7 linked regions of the Neurospora crassa OR74A genome follow. The protein of the gene in region 6 interacts with the protein of the main gene of each other region in a pairwise test. Links are inferred from orthologs where the notes say so. Each region holds a gene or a part of one and is shown on either strand. Other genes may lie near its edges. The genes, in order: thr-4, NCU08359, NCU06110, fbp-1, NCU09813, NCU01249 and NCU02998.

The links.
Region 1: the proteins of NCU01249 (region 6) and thr-4 interact in a two-hybrid assay, tested with the Saccharomyces cerevisiae proteins (2 studies listed by BioGRID). The link is inferred for Neurospora crassa OR74A from reciprocal best matches to the Saccharomyces cerevisiae genes SRP1 and THR1.
Region 2: the proteins of NCU01249 (region 6) and NCU08359 interact in a two-hybrid assay, tested with the Saccharomyces cerevisiae proteins (2 studies listed by BioGRID). The link is inferred for Neurospora crassa OR74A from reciprocal best matches to the Saccharomyces cerevisiae genes SRP1 and CDD1.
Region 3: the proteins of NCU01249 (region 6) and NCU06110 interact in a two-hybrid assay, tested with the Saccharomyces cerevisiae proteins (2 studies listed by BioGRID). The link is inferred for Neurospora crassa OR74A from reciprocal best matches to the Saccharomyces cerevisiae genes SRP1 and THI4.
Region 4: the proteins of NCU01249 (region 6) and fbp-1 interact in a two-hybrid assay, tested with the Saccharomyces cerevisiae proteins (2 studies listed by BioGRID). The link is inferred for Neurospora crassa OR74A from reciprocal best matches to the Saccharomyces cerevisiae genes SRP1 and FBP1.
Region 5: the proteins of NCU01249 (region 6) and NCU09813 interact in a two-hybrid assay, tested with the Saccharomyces cerevisiae proteins (2 studies listed by BioGRID). The link is inferred for Neurospora crassa OR74A from reciprocal best matches to the Saccharomyces cerevisiae genes SRP1 and SMT3.
Region 7: the proteins of NCU01249 (region 6) and NCU02998 interact in a two-hybrid assay, tested with the Saccharomyces cerevisiae proteins (2 studies listed by BioGRID). The link is inferred for Neurospora crassa OR74A from reciprocal best matches to the Saccharomyces cerevisiae genes SRP1 and BNA6.

The regions. Positions count from the first base shown.
Region 1 is NC_026505.1:5,469,577-5,473,501, reverse strand, and holds thr-4 (homoserine kinase), read left to right. Parts: upstream 1-1,158; 5' UTR 1,159-1,384; coding exon 1,385-1,820; intron 1,821-1,876; coding exon 1,877-2,175; intron 2,176-2,244; coding exon 2,245-2,586; 3' UTR 2,587-3,425; downstream 3,426-3,925. Other genes in the region: NCU04278 (hypothetical protein), read left to right, coding at 1-115. UniProt on the Saccharomyces cerevisiae protein: Commits homoserine to the threonine biosynthesis pathway by catalyzing its O-phosphorylation.
Region 2 is NC_026501.1:5,632,317-5,635,679, reverse strand, and holds NCU08359 (cytidine deaminase), read left to right. Parts: upstream 1-1,474; 5' UTR 1,475-1,790; coding exon 1,791-2,203; intron 2,204-2,408; coding exon 2,409-2,490; intron 2,491-2,588; coding exon 2,589-2,642; 3' UTR 2,643-2,863; downstream 2,864-3,363. Other genes in the region: NCU08358 (hypothetical protein), read left to right, coding at 1-374; NCU08360 (hypothetical protein), read right to left, coding at 3,155-3,363. UniProt on the Saccharomyces cerevisiae protein: This enzyme scavenges exogenous and endogenous cytidine and 2'-deoxycytidine for UMP synthesis.
Region 3 is NC_026507.1:1,764,339-1,768,376, reverse strand, and holds NCU06110 (thiazole biosynthetic enzyme), read left to right. Parts: upstream 1-1,238; 5' UTR 1,239-1,837; exon of another isoform or gene 1,838-1,919; 5' UTR 1,920-1,938; exon of another isoform or gene 1,939-2,267; 5' UTR 2,268-2,289; coding exon 2,290-3,226; intron 3,227-3,291; coding exon 3,292-3,389; 3' UTR 3,390-3,916; downstream 3,917-4,038.
Region 4 is NC_026506.1:853,930-857,671, reverse strand, and holds fbp-1 (fructose-1,6-bisphosphatase), read left to right. Parts: upstream 1-1,338; 5' UTR 1,339-1,849; coding exon 1,850-1,980; intron 1,981-2,074; coding exon 2,075-2,859; intron 2,860-2,953; coding exon 2,954-3,090; 3' UTR 3,091-3,242; downstream 3,243-3,742.
Region 5 is NC_026501.1:4,134,519-4,137,900, forward strand, and holds NCU09813 (SMT3, variant 2), read right to left. Parts: upstream 1,918-3,382; 5' UTR 1,731-1,917; exon of another isoform or gene 1,513-1,730; 5' UTR 1,476-1,512; coding exon 1,236-1,475; intron 1,104-1,235; coding exon 1,044-1,103; 3' UTR 501-1,043; downstream 1-500. Other genes in the region: NCU16378 (DUF1903 domain-containing protein), read left to right, coding at 2,686-2,688, 2,784-2,831, 2,912-2,924, 2,995-3,167. UniProt on the Saccharomyces cerevisiae protein: Not known; suppressor of MIF2 mutations.
Region 6 is NC_026505.1:3,366,333-3,370,560, forward strand, and holds the start of NCU01249 (importin alpha subunit), read left to right. Parts: upstream 1-1,428; 5' UTR 1,429-1,774; coding exon 1,775-2,008; intron 2,009-2,272; coding exon 2,273-2,782; intron 2,783-2,833; coding exon 2,834-3,736; 3' UTR 3,737-4,228. Other genes in the region: NCU01248 (hypothetical protein), read right to left, coding at 1-451. UniProt on the Saccharomyces cerevisiae protein: Functions in nuclear protein import as an adapter protein for importin beta nuclear receptors. Binds specifically and directly to substrates containing either a simple or bipartite NLS motif. Promotes docking of import substrates to the nuclear envelope.
Region 7 is NC_026501.1:8,474,443-8,477,931, forward strand, and holds NCU02998 (nicotinate-nucleotide pyrophosphorylase), read left to right. Parts: upstream 1-1,348; 5' UTR 1,349-1,424; intron 1,425-1,711; 5' UTR 1,712-1,775; coding exon 1,776-2,741; coding exon of another isoform or gene 2,742-2,754; 3' UTR 2,755-2,989; downstream 2,990-3,489. Other genes in the region: NCU02997 (polysaccharide deacetylase), read right to left, coding at 3,249-3,489. UniProt on the Saccharomyces cerevisiae protein: Involved in the catabolism of quinolinic acid (QA).

The sequences.
Region 1 (3,925 bases), about 2.1 Mb from region 6:
TGAAACAGCTGAAACAGCTGATAAGGCTGTTACTACTCCAAACCCTAAAAGGAGAGCTACTGGTGCCGGGCTGAGGAGGACGTTGTCGAATGTTTCGGCAGGACCGCCACGTTGACAGAGGGCACAGCTTCGTGGATCACCGAGAAACAGGAGTGTGAGCCATTACTCCATAGAAAAGGTGTTGGTTATTCAGAATAATTTACTGCTAGGTGGCTACATAGACGCGTTCAAAATTTCTCTTTCGATACTCTTGCTGATGCAGGATACGAGTGTTTGAAAAGGGATGAAAGAAATTCCCCTTAAAGAAGATTGTGGAGGGCCTGTACCCGTACCACCAGTACTGGGTAGCAGCACGATCTGTGAAATTTAGAAGGAAGCAGGAAATAAAGACTAAAAGACCAGAAACAAATCCATGTGCAAACAATCATCCGGAAAGCTCGGTTGCTGATGTTTACATGGCCTTCTTGGCACCGTAGCTACAGCAACGGCCGAAAAGGGTTCTTCAGCCTTGTAAGTGTCAAGCAACCTTGATAGATCATGCTTGATTCTTTCTATTCGGGCGAAGTATGGAGTCTTCTGCCTGGTTGTAAAGCTATGAAACTGTTGGCCTCAAGGAACACCGTAATGTAAGAAAAATGGTTATGTTATTTACCTCGAGGAATGGTCAGATCAAAGGACATTGAGGGACCTTTCAAGTTGTACGCCGAAGCTTACTGTTGGGACTAGAACGTGAACTGCTAGAACGGCAAGCAATCCTTATCGCACTGGTATTGATGAACTCGTAATATGAAATATATTATTACAAGCGTTGTGTTTTCCTTAAAGGTCTTTCAATACCGCCAGGAACACTCTATCTTGGCGCAGGCAAAGCAAGTTCATCGAAGGACAAGTGGCTGTCAAAACACATAGTCCCACCTAGTGTAGTCAATCGAAATGCTTGTTGAATGATGTATGTACGAGTCCCCGTTACTATGGTAACATTGATGTTGACTCGAGCGAAGAAGAACCTTGATGACTGTGTTGACTTGAAACGAAAAGAAGCAAACAAGTCAGGGGTTTAAACTAGTGGATCGAACCCTAAAAGGTGGAGCACCCAGCGCTCCATAACGCCAAGTGGACACCCACTGTAGAGTCATTGTCCACTGCCCGTCGGGCTCCGCTCCGTAATCGGGGCACCCTCCGACCTCCAGAAAGGGAAATCAATTGAAATTCAACAAAATTTCAGTGAAGGTGACGCATTCTCACAAAAGAGAGCATTTGTGTTTCTTGGCATAGGCAAGCCGATTGTTTACTTCTGTTCATCCATCTCCCGTTGGTTTCTTTCTGTGAAACTATCACCACTGGGTTCAACCCCTAGTAGTAAACCACTTTCACTCCAGACACAATGGCGTCTTCCCAGCAGATCGAAAAGTTCGTCATCAAGACGCCTTGCTCGAGCGCCAACATTGGCCCCGGCTTCGACGTCATCGGCCTGGCCTTGTCCATGTACCTGGAGCTCCATGTCACCATCGACCGCTCCAAGACGACTTCGGACAAGCCGCTGAACTGCCGCATCACCTACGAGGGCCAGGGCGAGGAGGATATCAGCCTGGATCCCGAGGTCAACCTTATCACCCGTGTTGCGCTTTACGTCCTCCGCTGCAACGACCAGCGCAGCTTCCCCGTCGAGACTCATGTGCACATCAAGAACCCCATCCCCCTCGGAAGAGGTCTGGGTTCTTCCGGCGCCGCTGTCGTTGCCGGTGTCCAGCTCGGCAAGGAGGTCGGCGGTCTGCACGACCTCACTCCCGAGCGTCTCTTTGACTACTGCCTCATGATTGGTGAGTCACTTATACTCTCACTCACCTTGAGCAACAAACACTGACAAAAATTGCAGAGCGCCACCCCGACAACGTCGGCGCCGCCCTCTTCGGTGGCTTTGTTGGCACCTACCTCAAGCCCCTCACCCCCGAGGAGACTGCCCGCACTGAGATTCCCCTCAGTGAGGTCCTCCCCGCCCCCGCCGGCGGTGTTGACACGGGCGTCAAGCCCCCTTCGCCTCCCCACGGCATCGGCCACCACATCAAGTTCCCCTGGGCTCCCGAAATCAAGGCCGTGGCCATCATTCCCGAGTTCGAGGTCCCCACCGCCAAGGCCCGCGAGGTTCTTCCCGCCGAGTATCCCCGTGCGGATGTTGTACGTCTTTCCTTCTTCTTTTATCTCACTATCAACCAATCAAGCCACTGACTTTTTTTTTTCAACTAGACCTTCAACCTCCAAAGGATAGCCCTCCTCCCCGTCGCCCTCGGCCAATCCCCTCCTGACCCGGAGCTCATCAACCTGGCTATGCAGGACAAGCTGCACCAGCCGTACCGCCAGGTCCTCATTCCCGGTCTGACCAAGATTGTCGAGTCCATGACGCCCGCCACGCAGCCCGGTCTTTTGGGCGTGTGCCTGTCCGGTGCCGGCCCGACCATCTTGGCGCTGGCGACGGAAAACTTTGAGACGATTGCCCAGAAGATCATTGAGGAGTTCAAGTCCAACAACATTGTCTGCCGTTGGGAGCTGTTGGAGCCTGCGGATGGGACTACGGTTACTAGGGCTTAGATGCCCATAGAATTGGATGAGATGAGATGGGATGGGATGGGGTTGCCTGTGAAACCCGTGATAGGGTAACCAGGTGGTAAAGAGGTGGAGGAGAGGCTGGCAAAAGCGGGATTGGGCAGTGAGCCGGCTTAGACACTGGAGAAAACGAACAAAAAAACAGAAGAAAATCTTGTGATACCCCTCATCCCTCATCCCGAAGCTTCCCGCGAGGTCTCTTGGTATTAAATGGTCACGAGATGCTGATGATCGTACGAGAATTCTACCGATATTATGTTTCTCTGTTTCTGGCAAGCCCCCCCGGGGCCGCCCACCATTTCAAAAGAAGGGATAACTAACTCCCGCCTCCAGACTCGTTCAAGTTTCAAGGCGCAAAAGCCACGCCGTATCCTTACGCGGCTCCATCTGCGTTTGTCTTCCGGGTGCATCCGTGTCCCGCACTTAACGGGTTCGCGATCGGCTGACGTGTGGAGCCCCCCCGACGACATGGCGGCTCGGCGGGTATTGGACGGGCTCCGCTTCGGGGACCGGATGTGGTCTGTCCATTGCCGCGTTGCGGGGCTCCGCTCGATCCGGGAAGAACCGAGAAATTTCACGATGGCTTCATTCCGTAGTTTTCCGGCGGTCTAAGTCTCACAAGTTGTGCAAGTTCAAGTGCTGGAATTTGAACTCGGATCAAAGTTTCTTGGTACGTACATGGCATCGCGACTCGGATCCCAGCCAGGCCCGGGCCGGAAGATGGCAGCTTGTGCCCGCTGTCAGATGCCAAACGGCATCAAGCGCGGAAAGTGTATGTATCCGCCAATTTTGCAATCCGTCGTACTTATTTCGGGAAAACTCGCAACCGTCCCCTGGAGACAATCTGGGTTAGGTTTTCGTCATTTCCCATTCCCATGGTTAGGTACTAGGTACTAGGTAGGGACCGCCCGCCCGGCGCCATCCGGGAAAAACAAACAAACATCCAGACGCCGGGAGACAAGTTATTCCTGTCAGTATGGAGAATTCCCGCCTGTCAGCGCTGGTCAGCTGAAAAAACAGTTCCGCCTTTTCCCCAAGTTCAACCCAAACCCAAACCCAGGAACAGAAAACAGCGTCGCGTCGGATCAGCAACACACAACTGAATCCAGGCAAGCCAGGCACTTCCATTCCAGAACCATTCCTTCATAACCCAACCGCACCAATCACTACCCCTGCTGCCCACTCGCTTGGCATTGTTCCCATCCAAAACATCCAGACAACGCCATCTTTCAGCTGCGCCCCACTCTCTTTTTGATAAATCACCCAATCACAGCTCGACGAAGGCAAGTCGGACTCCCCCGATCACACCACGACCAGCCGAGAC
Region 2 (3,363 bases), on a different chromosome or scaffold from region 6:
CCCAGATCTCCGAAGGCGGTCTCAACTTGTCTCAGGGCCAGCGCCAGCTCCTCTGCCTTGCGCGCGCCATCGTTTCGAGGCCGAGAGTTATGGTCCTGGACGAGGCCACCTCGGCGGTGGATATGCACACGGATGCGTTGATCCAGCGGTCTATTCGCGAGGAGTTCACTGATGCAACGCTGCTCGTTATTGCTCACCGTTTGAGCACGATTGCTGATTTTGATCGCATTTTGGTGCTGAGCGATGGCAAGGTTGCCGAGTTTGGAACGCCGAGGGAGCTGTGGGAAAAGGATGGTGGGAGTGGAGTGTTTAGGGGGATGTGTGAAGAGAGTGGTGAGAAGGAGAAGTTGAAGGATATCGTTTTTGCAAAATAAAAGGTTATGGGGGTGGAAGGGATGGATTTATGGTAACGAACGGACGAAAAACTGGACGAAATCCGTGGGATATTGGAATTTGGGAATAGAAAAGTACTGCGCCTGGGGAACATACATCCCTTGAGAGGTTTAAAAGAAGCCAGACTCACCGTATTGATATACTGAAAAAATAGATATATTGTTGGAGATTTGACGCTTTATGTCTGGACCAGACACTTGCAAACTTGCAGTTGTCGTCAGTGAAAGAACCGGTCTGCACAATCTAATGCCAGTTTGTTGATCGCAACTTAGTCCCATATTGCCTCAAACATCATGAGGACACATTGAGGTCATTAGGTATGGATGGGATATGCTTAAGAATTTGATCGGAAACGCACACATAAATTTTGACATCACATATCTGCAGTTGGGATATTTAAGCAAGCCAAGATAGTTCAGCTCTTGAATATGGAACGACACGTATTAATAGGATGAAAGGCCTAGGGAACTTGACCAGAGGTCTCGAGTTGACAAAGAGGCTAAGATTAAGACTACATCCGGTGTCGGTATTCTATCTCGATATCAACATCTCGGATAACCTCGATATCGGAAGTACAACCAATCGTCCATTCTGTCCCCAATCTTGATTTTCAAAACATTCGTCTTTAACCGGCGATTTTTTGTAAAAATCTAAAAATGCATGAAAAAAGACATATGCCACGTCCTGTTACAGAGTAATGACTGGTTGCCCATTCTTTGACCTGGACATATTCAACTATACACCGGAAGCGGTATGCCGAAATGGTGACCGACTCTTTTCTTGATAGTGACCTCATGACCCGCGGTTTTGAGTTGAGAGATAAGTCAGTTCCCACAATAGGCAAGGGACCGCCGATGTTACAGGGGCTTGCAGGGCAAAGCAAGAAGGTCTAAGAGATAAGATAACGAATAGGGCGGGGTGGCGGGGTAGCCGTCCTGCTAGCTTCCGCTCTTTCTCCGCTCTCCGGGGACCGCTGGTCGGCACGCCCCGTTGTCACCACCTACTCGCTGGTAGTCGGTCGGATGCGCTGTCTTTTGGCCGAAATCACCCCTGGGTAGGCTAAACAATGGTCTGGGGAACGGCCCGAGGTACTAAACAATGAAAGACCCGGGAGAATCTGGACGGAAAGGGGAGGAGGGATGAAAGGCGAGTTTGTACGATACACTTTTCCAGTCTTCAACTCGAGACACAATTTATGCCTACCTGTACCGACTTGGTGACGACTACAACACACAAAGTGCTCTTTCTCTCCTCAAATTCTCATTGATCAGCATCTTCCACCATCCAGCCATTCTTCTTCACACACAAAACAGAAGGCATCCCCAACCCCATAACCACTACACTTGGGTCACATTCACCACCACCATCACCACCACCATCACCAAAACAACCACACCATGGCGCCCCCAACACCACCCATCCTCAACGGCCACTCTGAAACCGTCATCGCCCAAACCTGCCAAACCTACAACCTAACCCCCTCCGAATTCGCCCAGCTGCGCGACCGCGCCGTAGCCGCCAAGGCCACCTCGTACAGTCCCTACAGCAAGTTCCGTGTCGGCGCCGTTTTGCTGTCCACCGGCAAGGTCAACGCCGCCGTCACGGGAGAGAGATCATCATCATCATCATCATCAGAGGGAACATACACGCCGGGAGCCAACGTGGAGAACGCCAGCTACCCCGTGACCACGTGCGCGGAGCGGGTGGCCTTCGGTAGGGCGATTACCGAGGGACACCGCGGGTTCAAGGCGGTGGCAGTGGCGACGGATATCAGCCCGCCTGCTAGTCCTTGTGGCATGTGTAGGCAGTTGTGAGTTCCCCTGATATCCATGCTACAGCTAGCTACGCCCTTTTCGGTGTTTCCTCTTTTTCTTTTCCTTTTTTTTTTTTTTTTTTTTTTTGTTTGTTTATTTTTTTTTCTTTCTTTCTTTCTTTCTGTTTGAAAGAGAAAAGGTGGAAGATAGATAGATATGCTTTGCTGACTGACCGGGCTTTTGCAAATTGATGCGTTATAGTATCCGCGAGTTTTGCGAATTGAGCATGCCTATTCTCATGTTTGATAAAGATGAGAATTTCAGTGTTTTGCGGCTTGAAGATGTGAGTTATTACCTTTTTCGTTCTTGCTTGTCCTTCGACCTTTGGCGTCTCGTGAGAGTTCAAAAAGGGGTTTCCTGACATTTTTTTTATATATCTAGCTTCTCCCATTGTCGTTTGGCCCTGATCAGATGGGTATTGAGGGCGCTGCTTAACTGTTTCCATATGATGGTCTCAGGGAAAGACACAGAAGGGTCTCACAATTATGTACCACTTGATCAACTTGGGTGTCAGGAACGGAGCGGAGCGGACAGTTCAGGGAGTCAGGGTCATGTAAACATAGGGGCAAAGCCCCATGTATTCTTTATCGCGCAGTTTTGAAGAGAATCATGGCATAATGAGCCCCAAAACCTGATCAACACAAATAGTATCAACCCCAGTGCCTGACGTACATTACTTCTATCCGACACGCAGTTTCGCTGTGTGGTCCTTCCAGCCTAGAGTAAGCTACTTAAGTCAGGAACTTGCCCAATTAAGAATCACGTCCGTACTATCTTAATGATTTGTCAACCCCAACAAGACAACCGCCATGCGATGAAAGAGAGAGAGAGACAACATGCAATGAATGGACCCAGGAAAAGATCCCACAAAAAAAAGAAACATGACTCCAGACAGCACCACCATACCCCAATAATCAGACTCATTTCGCCCTTTACCCTAATGCCCTTCAATATCCAAACCCATCATGTTGATGCATAGGACACCTGCCCGGGTGTCTCTCCCACCACGCACTTATACACGCTCTGTGAAACCTGCACAAACACTCCAACCTAGCCATGGCCACCCCAGGCTCAAACTCCTCCAGACAAATCGTGCACTCCGCCGAGTCCACGCAGTCTTTCTCCGTCGCCGTGTATGGAAACATGCCGGTCCGCC
Region 3 (4,038 bases), on a different chromosome or scaffold from region 6:
GATACAGTAGCAATCTGTATTCGTAGGTCCAATTCTTTAACCCGATACTAATTGGCTATATGAAGTTGACCGGTAAGGATAATAAAGCCCAGGCAGTACTCTCTATTAGCAGCAATAGCTTCAATACACATTACTAATTTACAATTCTCGGGGATAGCAAAGTAGTAGGTTCGCTTCCGCTTTATAATAACAAGCTAGTCTTTACCTATACCAATACAGAAACTAGTCTTATTTATATTCTATATATCCGACGGTATAAAGCCTTCTAATAAAATAATTTAATAGAGCTTCTCGAAGTATACTATTACTTATTATACTATTTATTAATCGTTACCTATATAAATAATATTAATATAACGGACTTACCTTATTTATATCCTTATTATCTTTCTGGGTACTATCTATTTTCTTTTGCCTAACTTTAGAATATTCGTAGCGCTTAATAAACCGTATTGCCCAATTAATACTAATGCGGGGTATTTCTTCGTTGTTAGAGTCGGCCGATTTAGGAGCCTTACTTCGAAGTAGTAGATCTGCAATATCCTTAATATACAACGGTCGTACAGCGAGGTTAATTCTATCGAAACGGTCGATATAGTTATATAGAACCTTCTTATTAACTAGAGTAAGCTTTTACTTGTATAGTACGGGCGTACCCTTCTTAGTTGGGATCCCTTTAATGTAATTGTAGAGTTGCTTGCGGGGGACTTCAAATGTCTTGCACAAATGGGTGACGGGGACGTCGGGATTATCGTAATAAAAAGCGACCGCTCGTTGCAAACGTGCCTCCATATTGACAGCGATTATCCCTAATGCGATACGACGTTGTGGTAGTATAAAGAGAGAGGATTATAGGAAACTCAAAATCGTTATAATATATTGAGGTTCAAGATGTACGTGGCCGTTTTACTGGTGTGGCCGTATTACCCGTGAGCACCCACTTTAGGGGGTGCGAGTTCTACGAGGTCCAAAAAAGTGGGGGCGTAGTACGGGTAGTAGCCAAGAAGGGGAAGGGAACGTTCGGGCCGTTAATGTTCTCGGCGTCGGCAAGGTGTCGGACTTTGTCCCGCGTTAACGGTGCTACCACCCATCCAACGCTATCATTAGCGAGCTGCAGCTCTTGCTTGAAATTGCGACCTCAATTGCTGTTGTACCGTAGCTGAGCGTAGTTAGCCGGTTCATTCATTTTTGCTTTCCTCATGTTCACGCCATCAGCGAGTCCATCCGACACCGAAGAGTGGGGTGTTCGGCCCACGCATTGATGTCTGTAAGCCGCGCACTGTCGAGGATCGAGATAACAAGCGAACCTCTAATGTTGGACACGGACAAGATGAAGAGGGGTAACTATATTGATAGCTTCGACAACTGAAAACGATTTGATAGTCTCGGGCTGACATTGGGTCATGATCGGAGGATCGCCGATGCCGTGAAACTTGGGCAAAGGAGGGGAACAGGAAGGCGAAATAACCATTCGTGGTGAGGATGCATGGGATGATGGAAGGTGTGGCATGTTCAGATAACCGCATACTTCCCGTCAGTGTGTACGATGCAGTGTTGGAAAAGAAAGAGGGGCAAGAGGGGCAAAAGGATGCAAGCGAGGGGGAGAGGGGACGGGATGCAGCTCGAACTGAACCGGGAGTAGGAGGGGAGTCGCGTAGGTACATGTGCACCCACCTCGCTTACCTTACTTGCCTCAAGTAACGATAAAAAGGGCAACAGCTCCCCTACACAAAGTCTGCCTCTTCTCTTCCATTCTTTCCCATCTTCTTCCCATCGTCAGAATCAACGAACAACCTCTGTCTTCGTTCCAAGGACTACCAGCAATAAATACCAACACGCAAGTATCACCAAGCTTGTTCGGGCTTCATCTGTCTCCTCTCCCCCATGGTGTTGATATACTAACACCCTCAAGCAAGCAGACAGACTCTCAACACCAGGGTACAGACCACCCACCTCCTCCACCAAGATGGCCACAAACCATCGTTCCAGGAGGAGCTGAAGCCATGAACTCCCCATCGGCTGGTTGATTATACCATGATTCGATCACGTTCAAACATACTTTCAGAGGTAACTATCTGAATGCATGAGCCGGTGCCAACTTCTGTCCTGGGTATTAGGTCGCTTCTAGCACCTGTACCCAGGGGAGAAGTACAGGCTGAGAATATACGGCGACGAACTTGATCTGGATAATACCAGCGAAAGGATCATGCTTCAACTTTCCTCCCCCGCTCCCCCCTTCTCCCGTACAGTCATTCTAACATTCCCAGATAACTCTGATCCATCATCACCATGTCTCCCTCTGTTCTCGAGCCGCAGAGCGTCCCCACTCTTGTCAACGTCGGTCTCAAGGCCGTAGGCAGGAACGATGCTCCCGTCGAGCGTGATGCCAGGGGCTTGTCCAAGCCTCTTCTGGAGCTCATGCCCACCCTCGGCACTGACGCCTTCACCTTTTCCCCCATTCGCGAATCTACCGTTTCGCGCGCCATGACCCGCCGCTACTTCGCTGACCTGGACGCCCACGCCGAGACCGACATTGTCATTGTCGGTGCCGGCTCTTGCGGTCTCTCGGCCGCCTACGTCTTGTCCACCCTGCGGCCCGACCTGCGCATCACTATCGTCGAAGCAGGCGTCGCCCCGGGAGGTGGCGCTTGGTTGGGCGGACAGCTCTTCAGTGCCATGGTGATGCGCAAGCCTGCCGACGTCTTCCTGGACGAGGTTGGCGTGCCGTATGAAGATGAGGGTGACTACGTGGTGGTCAAGCATGCCGCTCTGTTCACTTCGACTGTGCTGAGCAAGGTCTTGCAGAGGCCCAACGTCAAGCTGTTCAATGCCACGACCGTCGAGGACTTGATCACCAGGAAGCACCACGCCGAGTCTTCGTCGTCATCGGATGATGGCGAGGCCGAGGACGAGGCCAAGGTGAGGATTGCCGGTGTGGTGACCAACTGGACCCTCGTGTCAATGCATCACGATGATCAGAGCTGCATGGACCCCAACACCATCAACGCCCCAGTTATCATCAGCACCACGGGCCACGATGGTCCTTTTGGTGCCTTCTCCGTCAAGCGTTTGGTCAGCATGAAGCAGATGGAGCGCCTGAACGGCATGCGCGGGCTCGATATGCAATCCGCCGAGGATGCTATTGTCAACAACACTCGCGAGATCGTCCCGGGTCTGATCGTTGGCGGTATGGAGTTGTCGGAGATTGACGGTGCCAACCGCATGGGTATGTTGAACTATCCCCTACTTCAGTTGATCTGAGTTGCATATGCTAACCCTGGCCAACCACAGGACCTACCTTCGGAGCCATGGCTCTCAGCGGTGTCAAGGCTGCCCACGAGGCCATTCGCGTCTTCGACCTCCGCAAGGCTCAGAACGACAAGTGCTAAGCCTGTTCAAGACGTTGGAAGTAGTAACTAAAATGGGGGAGGATTTATGCATGCAATTTGTTGAATCTTTTGAGTTTAAACTTTGTTCGTGTCCATTTGGATCCAATGAATTCTTGAACGTACAGTCCCTTCTGTTGGTCTCTTTATGCTTAAGATAGCCGTTTAAAGTCCAAAATCGTCTTGACGCACCTCTTAAGTCATCTTGTCATCTTTTATGTCCGAAAATCCCGTGAAGCAGGAACAAATAAACCTTTGCTTTTGCAAGTCGCGCAGAAGTGACCTCTGGGGCGGTGGAGAGGATATGGCATTGAAAATGTAACAATGTCCTGCCGGACCCCAAATCATCAACGGTCATCCTTCTGCTCAGCTTGACGGCTGCGATGTCGCGTCGTGGACAAGAGAGCTTCAACAGTGCATGACAAGGTCAAGCAACACAAGTACAGGCCTGGGAAAAGCGACAAGATATCGAGGGAATGCAAGAAGACATAACATAGTAGTAGTAAGGTTGATAAACTGGTACGTAAGTCCCATCGTTTGGTATCTCTCCCTTTTTGAGTCGCCTGCAGCGGAAAAAAGAAAGGAACAGAAAGAAGACATTGCCGACCGACCAATAAACTCCTGCTCCACGACTCCGATCCCAGTCCTCCTT
Region 4 (3,742 bases), on a different chromosome or scaffold from region 6:
CGTGAACATGGTGGACGACTCCTGAATGACATCCCTGACGTCACTTGGACAAGAAGGGTTAGGGTTCTGTGTACGATAAGGGAATCCGGTAAGCCGTCAAGGTGCCTGCCGGACCACGGGAAAGCTCCGCCCGAAGTGTCTCCAAAGTCCAAGCTGAGCTCGAAAAGATCTCCATTCCACAGACCGGGAGCTGGTCACGAGGACGACTGGGAAATTTGGGAAGGGAAAAGCCACAACATGGTTTCTGTTCCGTAATCAACCGGCGGTGTTGTTGTTCATTTTGTTTGCCATCAAGTGATTCGTAATTGTGGTACAAACCCCGAGTCAGATGATGGAGATTCTGGACTTTGGTGATTCTTGACCGTCTCTCGTTGGCTTGTTGCCAGATTTGGGTGCCGGTGTTGTCGGGTTTGTTGACAAATCCTCAGCATCGTGAGCCGATTGCCGGATGGTTGGCAAATTGAACAGAACAACCACCAAAAGGTCTTTGGCGACAGAAATGGGAAGCATTGCCATGCGCAAGTCCCGTCGGCCCGGGAAATCTTCTTTGGGGGACTTCAGTTGCATTTGCCAGAGTTGCCCCGCACCCCCGGATCTCGCCCAGCCTAACTGTCATGCCGCCCCTGACGGCTTCTGGATCGCCCCCGGTCGTTAGGTAGGCAACCCCTCCACTCCCCCTTCGTCATCTTGGCTTCATCCATATCATATGCAAAAACAAACAGTTGGGGAAAGTTCCCCTTCGGCCGGCGGCTTATCACAAACTCCTCAGACATCAGCTCGCAACAGGTCATTGAAGAGTAATGTGGGCAATCAGCAGACGGCTAATTCGGCTTTGCCACGAGTACACAAGAACCACAATACCTAAAGCAAAACAAGCAAAGAAGAAGCCACAGACTGCTCGAGGGGGGGGGGGAGGGTGGCCAGCCAACAGTCGCTGATGTCACAAGTCAGCGAGTGGACATACCTAGAGGTAGCTCTCCCCGTCCCTGATTATCGATAACCGCTTGTTCAACCGACGACGGCCGAATGAGGGGCCCCATCCCATAGCTCCCGTTTTCCCCCATTCTGCAACCCGGGGTTCCGGGGTTGTGCCATAGGTTGCCTCGACAGCTTCCAGACAACTGAAGTTGCTTTGTATGTAGTGTAGCATCTCGAGAGGAGGAAAAGCTCCTCCTGATATCATCTCAACGCCTTAACCAGAAGAGATCCAAAGCAACATTACGCTTGTGTTGACTCCTGGACGGACGATCAGTGATCGTCGCCTGAATGTTGTCTTCCAGGCCCTCTCATACGCCAGAAACACTTCAGCCAGTCCATCATAAAAATGGAACTCCTCGTCGAGAATGGATCCTAACCTGTCACGTTGATGGAGGAGATCCCCTTGGCTTGTGAACATTCCCCTGTCATGTTTTCGTGTTCCTGGCTTGTCTGACCGTCTCTTCCCGTCTTCTGCCACTCCACCTGAACTGAAAGGGAAGCTTCTTATCTTGCTGCTCCTCCTCCTCCTCCTCCTCCTCTTTCTCGGGCTCTCTGTTCTTCTCACTCTCAATCTCCCTCTTCTTCCATTATCTTATACCCAAATACCCAAACCAGTGTTTTGAATTTGCTATCCTCCTCACCGGAACAATACCAATCCACCGACCAGACGACCAAACATCATAGTTGCGTATAGGTCGAGCTCTTTGTTCAACGTCAACCCTCGTGACCACGAAGCATACATCATCCCACAGCTGCAGAGCGCATAAGCTAGCTAGCCACGAAATAACAGCCAGCCTGTTCTCACTCTCAGTGTAGCAAGCTTCATTTTCGCTAATTTCGCCAAAAACACATCCTACACACATAATTAACCATGTCGACTTTCACAACAAACGGAGCTGGCGCCGAGAACGACGGTGAGAAGGTGAACACCCACATTGTCACCCTCACCAGATTCCTCACCGAGGAGCAAGTAAAGCACAAGGAGGCCACTGGAGACTTTACGTATGTTATCCATCACTTACACCAATTCCCTTCCTGTTGACCGCGCAAACAACCGAATCAAAGAGAACTACCAGCTAACATGAAACCCCAAAAGCCTCCTTTGCCATGCCCTCCAATTCTCCTTCAAGTCCATCGCCTACTACATCCGCCGCGCCACGCTCGTAAACCTCACAGGTCTCGCCGGCTCCTCCAACACCACGGGCGACGAGCAAAAGAAGCTCGACGTCATCTCCAACGACCTCTTTATCGAAGCCATGCGCTCGTCGGGCAAGTGCGCTTTACTCGTCTCGGAAGAGGAAGAGCACGTAATCTACTTCAAGGACGCCAAGAACGCGCGCTACGCCGTTGCCTGCGACCCCATTGACGGCTCTTCCAACCTGGACGCCGGTGTGTCGGTCGGCACCATCTTCGCCATCCACAAGCTGGCCGAGGACAGCACGGGCACGAAAGAGGACATTCTCAAGCCCGGCACCGAGCTCGTCGCGGCCGGCTTCACCATGTACGGCGCCTCGGCCCAGCTGGTCATCACCATGAAGGGCGGCTCCGTCAACGGCTTCACGCTCGACCAGGGCGTGGGCGAGTTCATCTTGACGCACCCCAACATGACGATCCCCAGGAAGAGGAGCATCTACTCCGTCAACGAGGGTAACTCGCTCTACTGGGAGGATGACGTCAAGGCGTACTTTAACAGTCTGAAGGAAACCCAGGAGGACAGCGGAAAGCCTTATAGCGCTAGGTACATCGGTTCCATGGTGGCCGATGCGTACAGAACGCTGCTCTATGGTGGTATGTTTGCGTACCCGGCAGACAAGAAGAGCCCCAAGGGCAAGCTGCGTATTCTGTACGAGTGCGCGCCCATGGCTATGATTTTTGAGAATGGTAAGTCTTGTCACTCGTCTTCCATCACATCACCCCTTGAGCGCCCAGATAGGAATATGATGATGGATACTAATATGTTGTGTTAAAACGATAGCTGGTGGTCAAGCTGTCGATAGCAAGATGAACCGCATGCTCGAGGTCGTACCGGAGCACATCCATGACAAGGCCGGTATCTTCATGGGTTCATATGATGAGGTTGAGAAGGTCAAGAAGTACCACGGCAAGGCTTGAGCTGGGCTCGGTCAACAAAAGTGTTGGGGCTGGGGGGGTTGGATATCGGGATTGGCTTGCATTTAGGGACTGAGCTTTTGCTTGACATGATTGTCGATACCTAGGTTGATGAATGCGCATGATCAGATGTTGTTTGGTTCATCACCTTGCATAATTTTTTTTTTTTATTTTTTTTTTTTATAACTTGTGAACATCGCCAGTGATGAGTTGTCCGGAGTTGTTCAGTTGCCTTGCGTCCAGCGGTACTTAACTAACCTCTCTTGTCATCCCATCCATCTGTAACCTGTAAGCTTATTCCATCTGATAAACAAGAAAAAAGACATGACCTCCACACCGCATGTGAATGACTTTGCAGGTAAGCAGTACTGTCGAGTGGTCTAGATCTCGAGAGTGAAGAAAGCAAACGTCCATCCTGCCTTTTGACCGCTCGAAGCAGCACATGGCGAACGGCATTTTCGGACTCGAGCAATCATCTGAAGGGGGGTGGAGCAAGAACCGAACGGTTCGTTACGAATTACGTTGTACAGCACTTGTATATATGCGTGTGCATAAATCGACCGTTGACGGCTTCCCGCCGCGCGATGTTTTGTTGATGTTAATATGAGACGGAAATGTTGACAACCAGCGGCCTGCCGGCTCGGTCAACATGTGA
Region 5 (3,382 bases), on a different chromosome or scaffold from region 6:
AAAGCATTGTAAGGGTGTTTTTTTTTTTCTTCCTTTTTTTTTTCTTCTGCATAGCATTGGAATCAGGATGTTCAAGTTGCTCTACATTTTCTTTTACTCAATAGTGTTTAGGGGTTCATATGTACGAGTATCGAGATACAAACAATATTATAATAATAACACATCAACACACGAAACTAGGATGTCATGGTGTGGTTATTCGGGGTTGCCTTGGACTTGTCAGCGTAGCCTACCTGATAGGCATTATGGACGTCATGGTTAAATCAGCCTTGGAAGATAAGCAAGGAGTTGACGATATCCCACAGCGCTCGGGAACGACGATCGAAGCTGGGCAAATTGGAGATGATGGTAGAGGAGAGTAAAGGCTCTGTCTACGAATATGTCACTGCAACGGGTTCACTGGCTGAGCGGGGACAGATACAACAATGTGAGTCCTTGAATTCCTAGGATAATAAACACTCGACAGCGCTCGAGAATGTGCATGGCATCATAAACGAGCACTCGCAGTATTGTTACAACATCTGGGACTGGAAAAAAGGGGGGAAGAAAGGGGGCAGAAGGCCATTTGGAAAGATGCCGTGTTTACGCTTCAAACAGAAGATAAGATGCCGGCAAAGCCAGTTGGCGTCCCGTCAAAGTATGGTATAAATAGAATCAAATCAATGTTCCTCGATACCCCTCCGCCCTATGACCCCAATGATAGCACCCTCCGAACTCCGGTTCTCCTAGGCATCACCTATGCGGCGAATAGGAACAAAAGTAGAAAAAGTGCGTGCGTCCAGTGACAATGGCAAAAGCTGTGATGTTCTCCGTAACCCCGTGTCCAATCCTGCTGTCACATTCCGAAACTCCCACCCAGTCCCTGTCCTGTTATAGAATCGGATACCACTCGCGAGCTATCTTCTGGTGATCAAGTCGCCGGTTGTCGTTCCGCTTGCTACTATGCATATGGCCGGTTGTAATTTTGTCTTTTTTGTATTTTTTTTTGTTGCCTTTTTCTTTCTCCCATCTCCTTGTAGTTGTAGTATAGGATCGCCTTTTATCTACCAGCCGCCGACCTGCTCTTGGTGAACTTCCAGGCAATCACCGTCCTGCATCTCGAGCTATATTATGGTAGCAATGGACCTGGTTAGCAAACATATTTCTGGCGTGCTCGGGTGCTTCGTCTACCATGGTGTTCCCGGGCTAGCAGCAACATCAACACAGATGTTAGGTGCATGCCAGACTTCACTTACAGTGTCCGGGGTGTCCGTGGGCTGTACGCGCTGACCCTCGAAGAGGAACCTAACCGAAGCCAGCGTCTTGCCCTGACGCTCGCAGAACGCCGTCATGAGCTTCTCGAGCTTGGTGCTGCGCTTGATCTTGAAAAAGACCTCGTTGTTGTTATCCGTCACCTTGATATTAAGGTGCTCGACGGCGGGGGCGGCGGCATCGGAGCCAGCGTTTCCACTTCCGTTCTCAGCGTTGTCCGCCATGTTGATGACTTGGGAGTTGGAGATGCTAGGCAGAAGTCTAGTCGCAAAGAAATTTCGTCAATGAAAACTGGAAGGGCCGAGTTTGAAGTGTCGATGTTCGGAAATGCTAGAGTTCCAGGCTGCGATGGAAGTCAGAAATTGCGCGCGTGTCAACGCGCCGGAGAGTCTCGTCCTGCCTGTGTTGTCGCACAACGAGATGGAGCAGAAATTGGTGGAGGAACAGCAAAATTCGAGAGGAGAAGCGGATTGTCTTACTGCAGTAGATAGGCGTATTGAAAGACGCTGTGGCAGACTTCTGGTCTTGGGAAGCGTCGAGTCAAGTAGGTCCGTGAGAATTTAGAGAAGTGGAAGGCGAGGTGCACCGGGTCAAGTCGTGCTTTTGAGGTGGAAGCGTGGTTGCGGCGAATGCAGTAAACGACGGCTGGAGGGCGGTTTGTAAGACTGCAGCAGACGCAAAGTTCAGGTGGGGCCAGCCTTGAAACACCAATATTTGTACGAAACCTTGATGCCTCCTCTCAACCTGGCCAACTTTTGTGGTAAGTTGCGCTCCTTAAGGCTCTACTGAAATGCGACACATGCGTATAATACCCGTACCTGGTCCAAAAGGTGAACATGAGACGAAAGGGCCGAGGAAGGCCAATTCGTGAAGGTGTTCATACACCGAATTGCAAGCCCACAGAACTAGGTGCCCAAGTATTTCACTGTCCGCCACTTGGCACTACTTCTAGGTCAACCATTCGAATACCAATCTTTCGCTCATCTTTGCAGACCACCCGACCTTGCGTCGCACAAGCCCTATAGTAATGAACAGTTCCTTGTAGTCCTAGTCCGCGGTTAACTGCCTGTTCCAGCGTTAGGTTGTAGTGAGGCTGGTAGAAGAATGGTACAGATAGGTTGACGCAGTGGTGGTCACCGATAAGTGTTTTCGATCCGGAGAGTTCCTGACATCATCCACCCGTTTTCCTTTACTGATAGGCGCGGCAACTGGACTGGAGAATGGGGTACCGAAGCACCGGGATTGTTTAGGTTGTGGGGATTCCAAACTTGCAGGAGGGAGATCCTCGAGCGTAGAGTCCCACTCGAAGCTCTGGCTTTTACCTTCCATTTAATGAACACCTGAGCAAAGGGTACGTCTAACTGCCAGTTCTTGACTTCTTCGCGATCCAGCTTCCAACCAGACGGAGTTCTCGACCGTTCAAATTTCGATACCATGGTGGGTTTAGGCGCAGTACCAGCTTCAGGTCTCCCCTTACAGAATGTCTCGGCTCTCCCCTGAGGCACTGCTGACCGTTCATGTTGCTTTGTTAGACATTGCAAGACGACCTCGCAGCCAGTCCGCCATGCCATCCACGCGCGGTTTGTTCCATGTTTCCCTTGTTCTTTTGTTACGGCTTGCACGCGTGGTGTGCTGACATGCGGTTCTTTCGTGCCTGCAGTGCGCGATACAAAGTGAGGATGACCAGCTTGACTCCTGTGTCGTTCAGAACTCGCAGTTTGCTGACCTCACTTCACGCCGCAGATTGCCTGACCAGAAACGGATTTGATGAGAGCAAATGCCAGAAACAGATAGACGCACTCTACGAGTGTTGCAACGCGTTTTACGAAAAGAACAGCGAAAGCGCGTCAACAGTTAGCTGCCCCAAAGCGAGCCTGCTACGGCTCAAGATGGAACAGAGAAAGAAGGCTACATGAAGGAAAACAAGAGGAGTCGAAATGTATCACTTGTCCAGATATGTCCACCTAAACGCCCGTGAAGGTGTTAGGTAACTTAAACGGAAAGTGCGGTATTCCTCTGGGCGATCCTTGAGCACGCGAGAGACCTCATGGGCCTGAACAAGAAATGATGGTCTTGTTCCGAGACTCTAATAGGAATGCCGTGGACATTGTAAGGAAAAAAAAAAGAAGAA
Region 6 (4,228 bases):
CACCTTGCTTTGGGGGCAAGAGTGCTACCTGTGCTGAAGCGGGATAGACGGGTATTGTCGCTGCCTTGTAAACGCAAACGGTGGTGATCTTGCTGGTGATGAGAGACTTTGGGTTGGACTTGAACCTCTGAACTTTTGCGCTTAGAACAACAAGCACGTCTCCGGCGCCGACTTCGGGCATCCGTGCCTCGGGGCGGAAGATGACGAGCTCAACTCCGGCCGATTCATCTTCAATGGACAGGTCAGATATGGTCAGGGTGCACTTCCAGTCCGATCCGTGTGTCGCGACGGGTGCTCGGCAGTCCTTAAGAACACCAATGACATTGACCATGGACCCGGGCTGGGCATCACCGTCATCGTCGAGAATGGCTCGTAGGGGTGTGAGCGTTGACGGAAAAAGTGGTGGCTTTGCCTTGGCCGCCGGTTTCCTGTCTCTGAGCGGGCGCATCATCTGGATATCCCAACTCTCCGTTCCGATTACATGGCGGCGGATGAGTATGTGGATGAAACACCACCAGCGGTTGGTCGTGATACTTACCAACCGTTGTAGGGCAACTTGGGGACTTCAGTGTTATACGTCGTACATTACGCGTTCACTTTACGCGTCTTGAAAGCGGAAATGGCACCTGCCCAATCGCCAAGTTTGCGCGACCGCATGTGCAGGGCAAGGGTCTTGGCCGCCCGTCGGGCCAGACCATCAGACTTGAAGCGCTGTGCTTTCAGCAAGCCTTGCAGGGCTACGGTAATGGTTAGACGCATGGTCTGTGCTTTCTCTTACCTACCCAGTATAGTCATGAGGGGTCGGGGACTCCCGAACAGGACCTTGCAGGCCAGCCTCCCAACACAACCTAAAGCCTGGAGGTAGCAAAGACGTATCTACCTAGCTCAGACGGTGGGAGGTTGAGAGCGGCCTTTTGACGTCGTTCTTTCAAGTAACTGAAACATGTCGTAGTCATTCAGGGAAACGAAAAGCTTGCGGCTCGACGGACGCGGCCTGAGGTCGATGAAGTTATGACGGGCAGTGTGTAACCTGCAAACAATCCATGACGTTCACAAGCAAAATGGAAGGAATGAGAAGAATGCCTGGAGGGTCCAGCCGCTCTGAGGTGGGGCCACCCAATGGTGGACAAGTTCCTGCACTCCAAGAACAGCGGACAAGTTACAAAGCTGCTCATGTGGCCTGTGCTCGAGCTTGGCTCTTCCATCCCCACTTTCAGAAGCCAAACTCTTTTCGCTACAGTTGGTGCCAGCATTGGGCGCTGTGGGCAGTGACTGGGCCACCTTCAGGCCTGAGGGGCAGCTGTGACTGAGTGGCAGGCAGGGCACAGTGACTGCCTGCACTTGGACTTCACTTTCGTGGAGGTGGAAAGTGCTGGTAGAGGAGGGGACAAGCCGCCGCCGCATTCTTGTTTCCGCTTTCTGCTCGAGGCGCGGGCGAACTCCCAAATTCTTTCATCGTCGCTCCTCAAAAAACACACAACTCGCCTGCCCCATCCATCCCCAAAACCCAATCCTTCTCTGACGTTTTCCGTCTCGCCGACAACGCACCCATACTTTTCTCCGTCCCATTCAGGATTGCTTTGGCAGGACCGTATCAACCGGGCTCTTCCAATTCTCCGGCTTTTCTTGATCGCATATACCTCCCTTTGAACGGCTCGCAGCAACTTCGTCGCCGGGGCTTCATCGATTGCATCGCCCCTCGTTTGCCGCCTTCATATCACACCTCCATCACCCATCCGTCTAGACACCGTCGTCTCGACATCGCGTCGCAACCATGGCTGACCGATACATTCCCGAGCATCGTCGCACCCAGTTCAAGGCCAAGAGTGCTTTCAAGCCCGATGAGCTTCGTCGCCGTCGTGAGGAACAGCAGGTCGAAATTCGCAAGGCGAAGCGCGAGGAGAACTTGGCCAAGAGGCGCGGTATTGGTGCTGGCGACTCGCGGCCTGGAGCTTCCCTTGGTGCCGCCCCCGACAGTGACGATGAGAACCCTCCCACCGAGTCTCAGGTATGCAAACCTCTATCTTACTCCCCTTACATGATCGGCCACAATTTTGCTACTGCGTCCGTCCATCGCCTCTCCCTTCTCTCCCCCACGTGTACCCCGCCGATGATGGTGATGCTTGAGCCACAAACCCCCAGGCAGTGCCGAACCTGCATTCAAGCTGCGCGCGCAAACTCGAACATTGTACAAACGAAAACCACCCCACATTCCGTCACGTCCCCGATCTTTGTTATAGTTGATCTCCACATGCTAACCCAGTTGTCATAGTTGAGCGAGGACCTTCCCAAGATGGTCGAGGGTGTCTTCTCCAGTGAGATCGATAAGCAAATTCAGGCGACCACTAAGTTCAGAAAGCTGCTCAGCAAGGAGCGCAACCCTCCCATTGAGGAGGTTATCAAGACCGGCGTCGTTGGTCGCTTCGTCGAGTTCCTCCGCTCCCCCCACACCCTGGTCCAGTTCGAGGCCGCTTGGGCCCTTACCAACATTGCTTCGGGCTCTGCCACTCAAACCCAGGTTGTCATCGAAGCTGGTGCTGTTCCCATCTTCGTCGAGCTTCTCGGAAGCCCCGAGCCTGATGTGCGTGAACAGGCTGTTTGGGCTCTCGGCAATATTGCTGGCGATAGCCCTCAATGCCGTGATTACGTTCTAAGCTGCGGTGCTCTGCGTCCTTTGTTGACCCTCCTTGGTGATAGCCGCAAACTTAGCATGCTCAGGAATGCTACCTGGACTCTTAGTAACTTCTGCCGTGGCAAGACTCCTCAGCCCGACTGGAACACGGTTAGTTCTCTCGATCACGAACAATCTAGTATGTCTACTGATCCATCATAGATCGCCCCTGCTTTGCCAGTTCTCGCCAAGCTCGTCTACTCGCTCGACGACGAGGTTCTTATTGACGCTTGCTGGGCCATCTCCTACCTCTCGGATGGATCCAACGACAAAATCCAGGCGGTTATTGAGGCTGGCATTCCCAGGCGTCTTGTTGAGCTCCTCATGCATGCTTCCACCTCTGTCCAGACGCCCGCGCTTCGATCCGTTGGCAACATTGTGACGGGAGACGATGTTCAGACCCAGGTTATCATTAACTGCGGTGCCCTTCCCTGCCTCCTGTCGCTTCTGAGCTCCAACAAGGATGGCATCCGCAAGGAGGCTTGCTGGACCATCAGCAACATTACTGCTGGAAACTCGGCTCAGATCCAATCTGTCATTGACGCCAACATCATCCCTCCTTTGATCCACCTTCTCTCCCATGCCGACCTCAAGACTCGTAAGGAGGCCTGCTGGGCTATCAGCAACGCGACTTCGGGTGGTCTCCAGAAGCCCGATCAGATCAGATACTTGGTTGCTCAAGGCTGCATCAAGCCGCTCTGCGACCTTCTGGCTTGCCCTGACAACAAGATTATCCAGGTTGCCCTGGATGGTCTTGAGAATATTCTCAAGGTTGGCGAGCTCGACAAGAACGCCGCTGGCGATGGCCCTGACTCGATCAACCGTTATGCCCTATTTATCGAGGAATGCGGAGGAATGGAGAAGATTCACGACTGCCAGACGAACGCCAACGAGGAGATCTACATGAAGGCGTACAACATCATTGAAAAGTACTTCTCCGACGAGGACGAGGCCGGTGATGAGGCCATGGGCGCTCAGCAGCAGTTTGGATTCGGTGCTTCCGGTGGTGCCCAGCAGGGTGGCTTCAACTTCGGTGCTAACGGCACCGAGTCGATGGACATGTAAAATGCTGTACAATCCGTCTAGTTCTTTTTACGAAGGGGATGGTTGGGTTAAAGATTGGGATGAGGGGACCCAGATGTGATGTTGATCACGGCACCATCTGGGAAATCCTACCATAAACATCTTACCCCATCAGCCTTTCGGCTCCCCCATACGAGTTCATTCGCCCAAACACAAGTCACAACACGGCAGAACTATATTGCTTCAATCTCATAGTGCCCCCTCACGCTTATTCACCACACCATACCCCTTGAATTGGCGTTATCAAAGTTATGTTTAAAAGAGAAAGGCGAGGATAAGTAGACGCACATGGAGGCCGATTGGTCCTTTGGTGCGAAAGCTCGAACCTGATGAGGACACGATGATGCGTTTTATGATGAAGGGAGAGTAAATCAAAGGGTCTGAATGGTAGCTTGAAAGCTCCAACCCTATAGCCATGTTCGGACGCGCAGTGATCAAGCCAAGGAGAAGGGAGCGGGAGCCTCGGGGCCGATG
Region 7 (3,489 bases), on a different chromosome or scaffold from region 6:
TTTCCAAGCTAAACATCCGGATTCCTCCAACTGGATAACAAACTTCCATGGCACGTAATATTTCGGGAAAGAAATTCTGTTCTCGTGTCATCGGGCAGCCATGGCAAAAGCTCAATGCGTAGCCACCGCAAGCGGTCCAACGGAGATTTGATGAGACTAGAGTGGCATTAAGGATGTTGAGATAGATTAAACGAAGGAGGTGGATGGAAAGTAGGGATTAACGAAGCTTCCAATTCCAGGAATCAGTGGTGGAGGAGCTACATGGAAGGTGAGGACTAAGGTGTCAGTCAAAGAACCACCGAGCCGATTGGGTTATGTAGATAGATGAACACACTCCTCTATGGCTGACCAGCTGTAAGCGACATGTATCATCCTAGAGAAATGGCATCTACACGGCGTCGCAGGCTCCGGGGAAAGAATCTGGGGTTGGCTGATTGGCTGTGTCACAGGGTCGATCGAAGACACTTGGAAGAATATATTGAAAGATGAGGGTGTATACAACGCCGGGCCAATGGTATGAGCCAGGTTATTCAGGATAAAGGAGGCCGATAAATTAGGAAGCGGGTCATCCTGAGCAAGACAGGAAGTCTTCGGTATGAAGAATGAAGAAGCTGGCTGACAGAGAAGGCGTCGAAGCCAGATGACAGCAAGGCGGTCACGGCACTCGTCTCATCGTTCTCGGTATCACTAAAAGTTTTTCTGGGTGTTGAGGCTTTTCATGTGTCAAAGTCGCTTGGTCTTGGCCTGAGTCGAGTGAAGCTGAAAAGTGGCAGGTCAATGGTGACGGCCGAGTATGCGCACTCGAGACATCAGATGTCAAGACCGCATATAGAGCGCAATCGTGGACCACAAAGCAAACCAAGGTCCGGAGTTCCGAGTAGCTATCCCTTGACCGTGGTGTTGATCACTTGTTCCTGAGGTGTGATGTGACAATGACCTTCACCCGTCCCGGAGGAGGAGAATTGATGTTGGAAGACCCCGACTGACCCGAGCATGCACGATAACTGCGTCCCCTTGATGCTTGTCAGTGCGGGACAACCATGGCACGATTGCGGAATCAAGGACACGTATTATTAAGGGGGGCAAAATGCCAACGAGAGTGCAGGACACGATATATATATGAATATATATATATATTTTTTCAAAGGGACGGTATCATAATACTCTGGTGTTGTTTAAATAGACGTCTAGCGTTGTCAGACTTTGAGGCTGTGATGCCTGATGAATGGAAGAACCGCGCTAACAGGTTAGGGTTAACAAGGCAACCCCTTCTTCCCCTCAGAAGCCCCGAAATCCCAGTCTGTCGCTCCCCCGCTCCCCGAAATTGCGCGGCCCGGCAGCGGACCCGGGCTTTCTGGGGACATTCAACGTCATCGTCTCAAGTGTTTACAATCGGCGACGACTTCAAATACATCGCGACATCTGTAAGTGCACTGCAAATCCCACATTGGCCCAGAAGTGTCTTCGCACCGCCCCTCTCTTTTCCAAACCCTGCCGAACCGTCTGCTTGGACCTATCCCGGCTCATCGAGACCTTCAGCGGGTATTGTCGGAGCTGACCCGGCGTGTCTTCCGCTCATCTCATCCCGCAACCTATGAGTGGCCTCTCATAAGTGTGACTAAGAACCTAGACTGCCTCTATCAAGATAGCTTTTGCAGCCATCAAATCAAAACATATCCCCCCAAAACAAACAAGCACTCACCAATTGCAGATCCAGGACTCGACGCAACCAAAATAAAAGGAAAAAAAATCAAAATTGAGAAAAATCGCCCATCATGATTGACATGGCCCTCGACCACGGCTCCCTCGAGCACATCCTCCCTGTTTCGTGGAAGTCCCAAATAACAGCCTGGCTTGCTGAGGACACTCCTTCGTTCGACGTCGGCGGTTTCGTTGTCGGCGACGCGCCGCGCACTGCCACTCTCTGGGGGAAGTCGCAGGGAATCTTGGCCGGCGTGCCCTTTTTCAACGAGGTGTTCAAGCAGTGCGGCTGCACCGTCGAGTGGCACGCGACCGAGGGCTGCCACGTCGAGACCCACGGCGGAAAGAGGGCGCTGGCGACCGTGACCGGTCCCGCCCGCGGCCTGCTCGAGGGCGAGCGTGTGGCCCTCAACATCCTGGCCCGCTGCTCCGGCGTGGCTACGCAGAGCCGGCACCTGCTGGTGAACCTGCGGAGTGCCGGCTACAAGGGGATTGTGGCGGGTACTAGGAAGACCACGCCCGGATTCCGTCTTGTCGAGAAGTACGGCATGCTCGTCGGAGGAGCCGACACCCACCGCATGGATCTCAGCACCATGACCATGCTCAAGGACAACCACGTGTGGAGCCGCGGCAGCATTACTGAGGCTGTCAAGGCGGCCAAGGCGGCCGGCGGCTTCAGCCTCAAGATCGAGGTTGAGGTGCAGAGTGAGGAGGAAGCTGATGAGGCGATTGCTGCCGGTGCCGACATTATTATGCTGGACAACTTCACTGGTGAGGGCGTCAGGGTCGCTGCTCGCAGCCTGAAGGAAAGGTGGGCTGGCAAGAAGCAGTTCTTGCTTGAGGTTTCCGGTGGTTTGACTGCCGACAACGCCGAGTCCTACATTTGCCACGGTAAGTGTGCCGGATCAATCATCTCCAGTAGAATTGTCGCTGACAAGCACATTAGATATCGATATCCTTTCGACAAGCTCCATTCACCAGGGCGTGCCGCACGTCGACTTTTCGCTCAAGATCAATGTCGAGAAGGGCACCGGCCCTGAAATTTCGAGCTAATGGATTCATATAATGAAATTTTGAGTGCACGACACATTGGTATGATACGTTACAATTCAAGCATGCAGTATTACCCGGCTTCGATGAGCTGGCTGTAATAGGCCAATTCAACCATTGTGAGTGATACGAACTTGGAGGAACTGGAGTTGCACAACAACAGGAGATGAGCGCCACCAAAATGGTACAAAAGTGTTATGGACTGACGTATCCGTGATCAATGCCAAACCTGGTGCATTATGTTCTCCAAATTCCAGCACATAGATGGTTATTTTGGTTCCAATCCAGCCATCCCATGTTGTGCCACGTTGAATAATCTTCGAGTCTTGTTTTTGACACTCCTAGTGAGATGGCCGCAAAATGCTATACCATGGTTCACTGCGGGTTGCGCTTCAGTGATAATTATTCCCACCCAAATCGATTTCGCCGCCCCTTTTCCCTAACGCCGACAAGCAATATAGTCTAGTAATTCTAATAATCCTCAATCGACGATATGTTCACCCCGTCGCCTCCTCCAAAAGCTGCGACACCGTCACAGCTTTGTAGCCCCTCCTCTGCATCTCCGGCAACACCTTCCTCAACATGGGCGGTGTCCAGCTCCTCCGATCATGACAAATAATGATTCCCCCGGGGCTCAGCATACTGAGGATATGCCTCGCATTCAGCCAGGCATACCCAATCTGGGCATCATGTGGATATATGCTCCCCAAAACCAAGCGATACCCCAATTTCCTCACC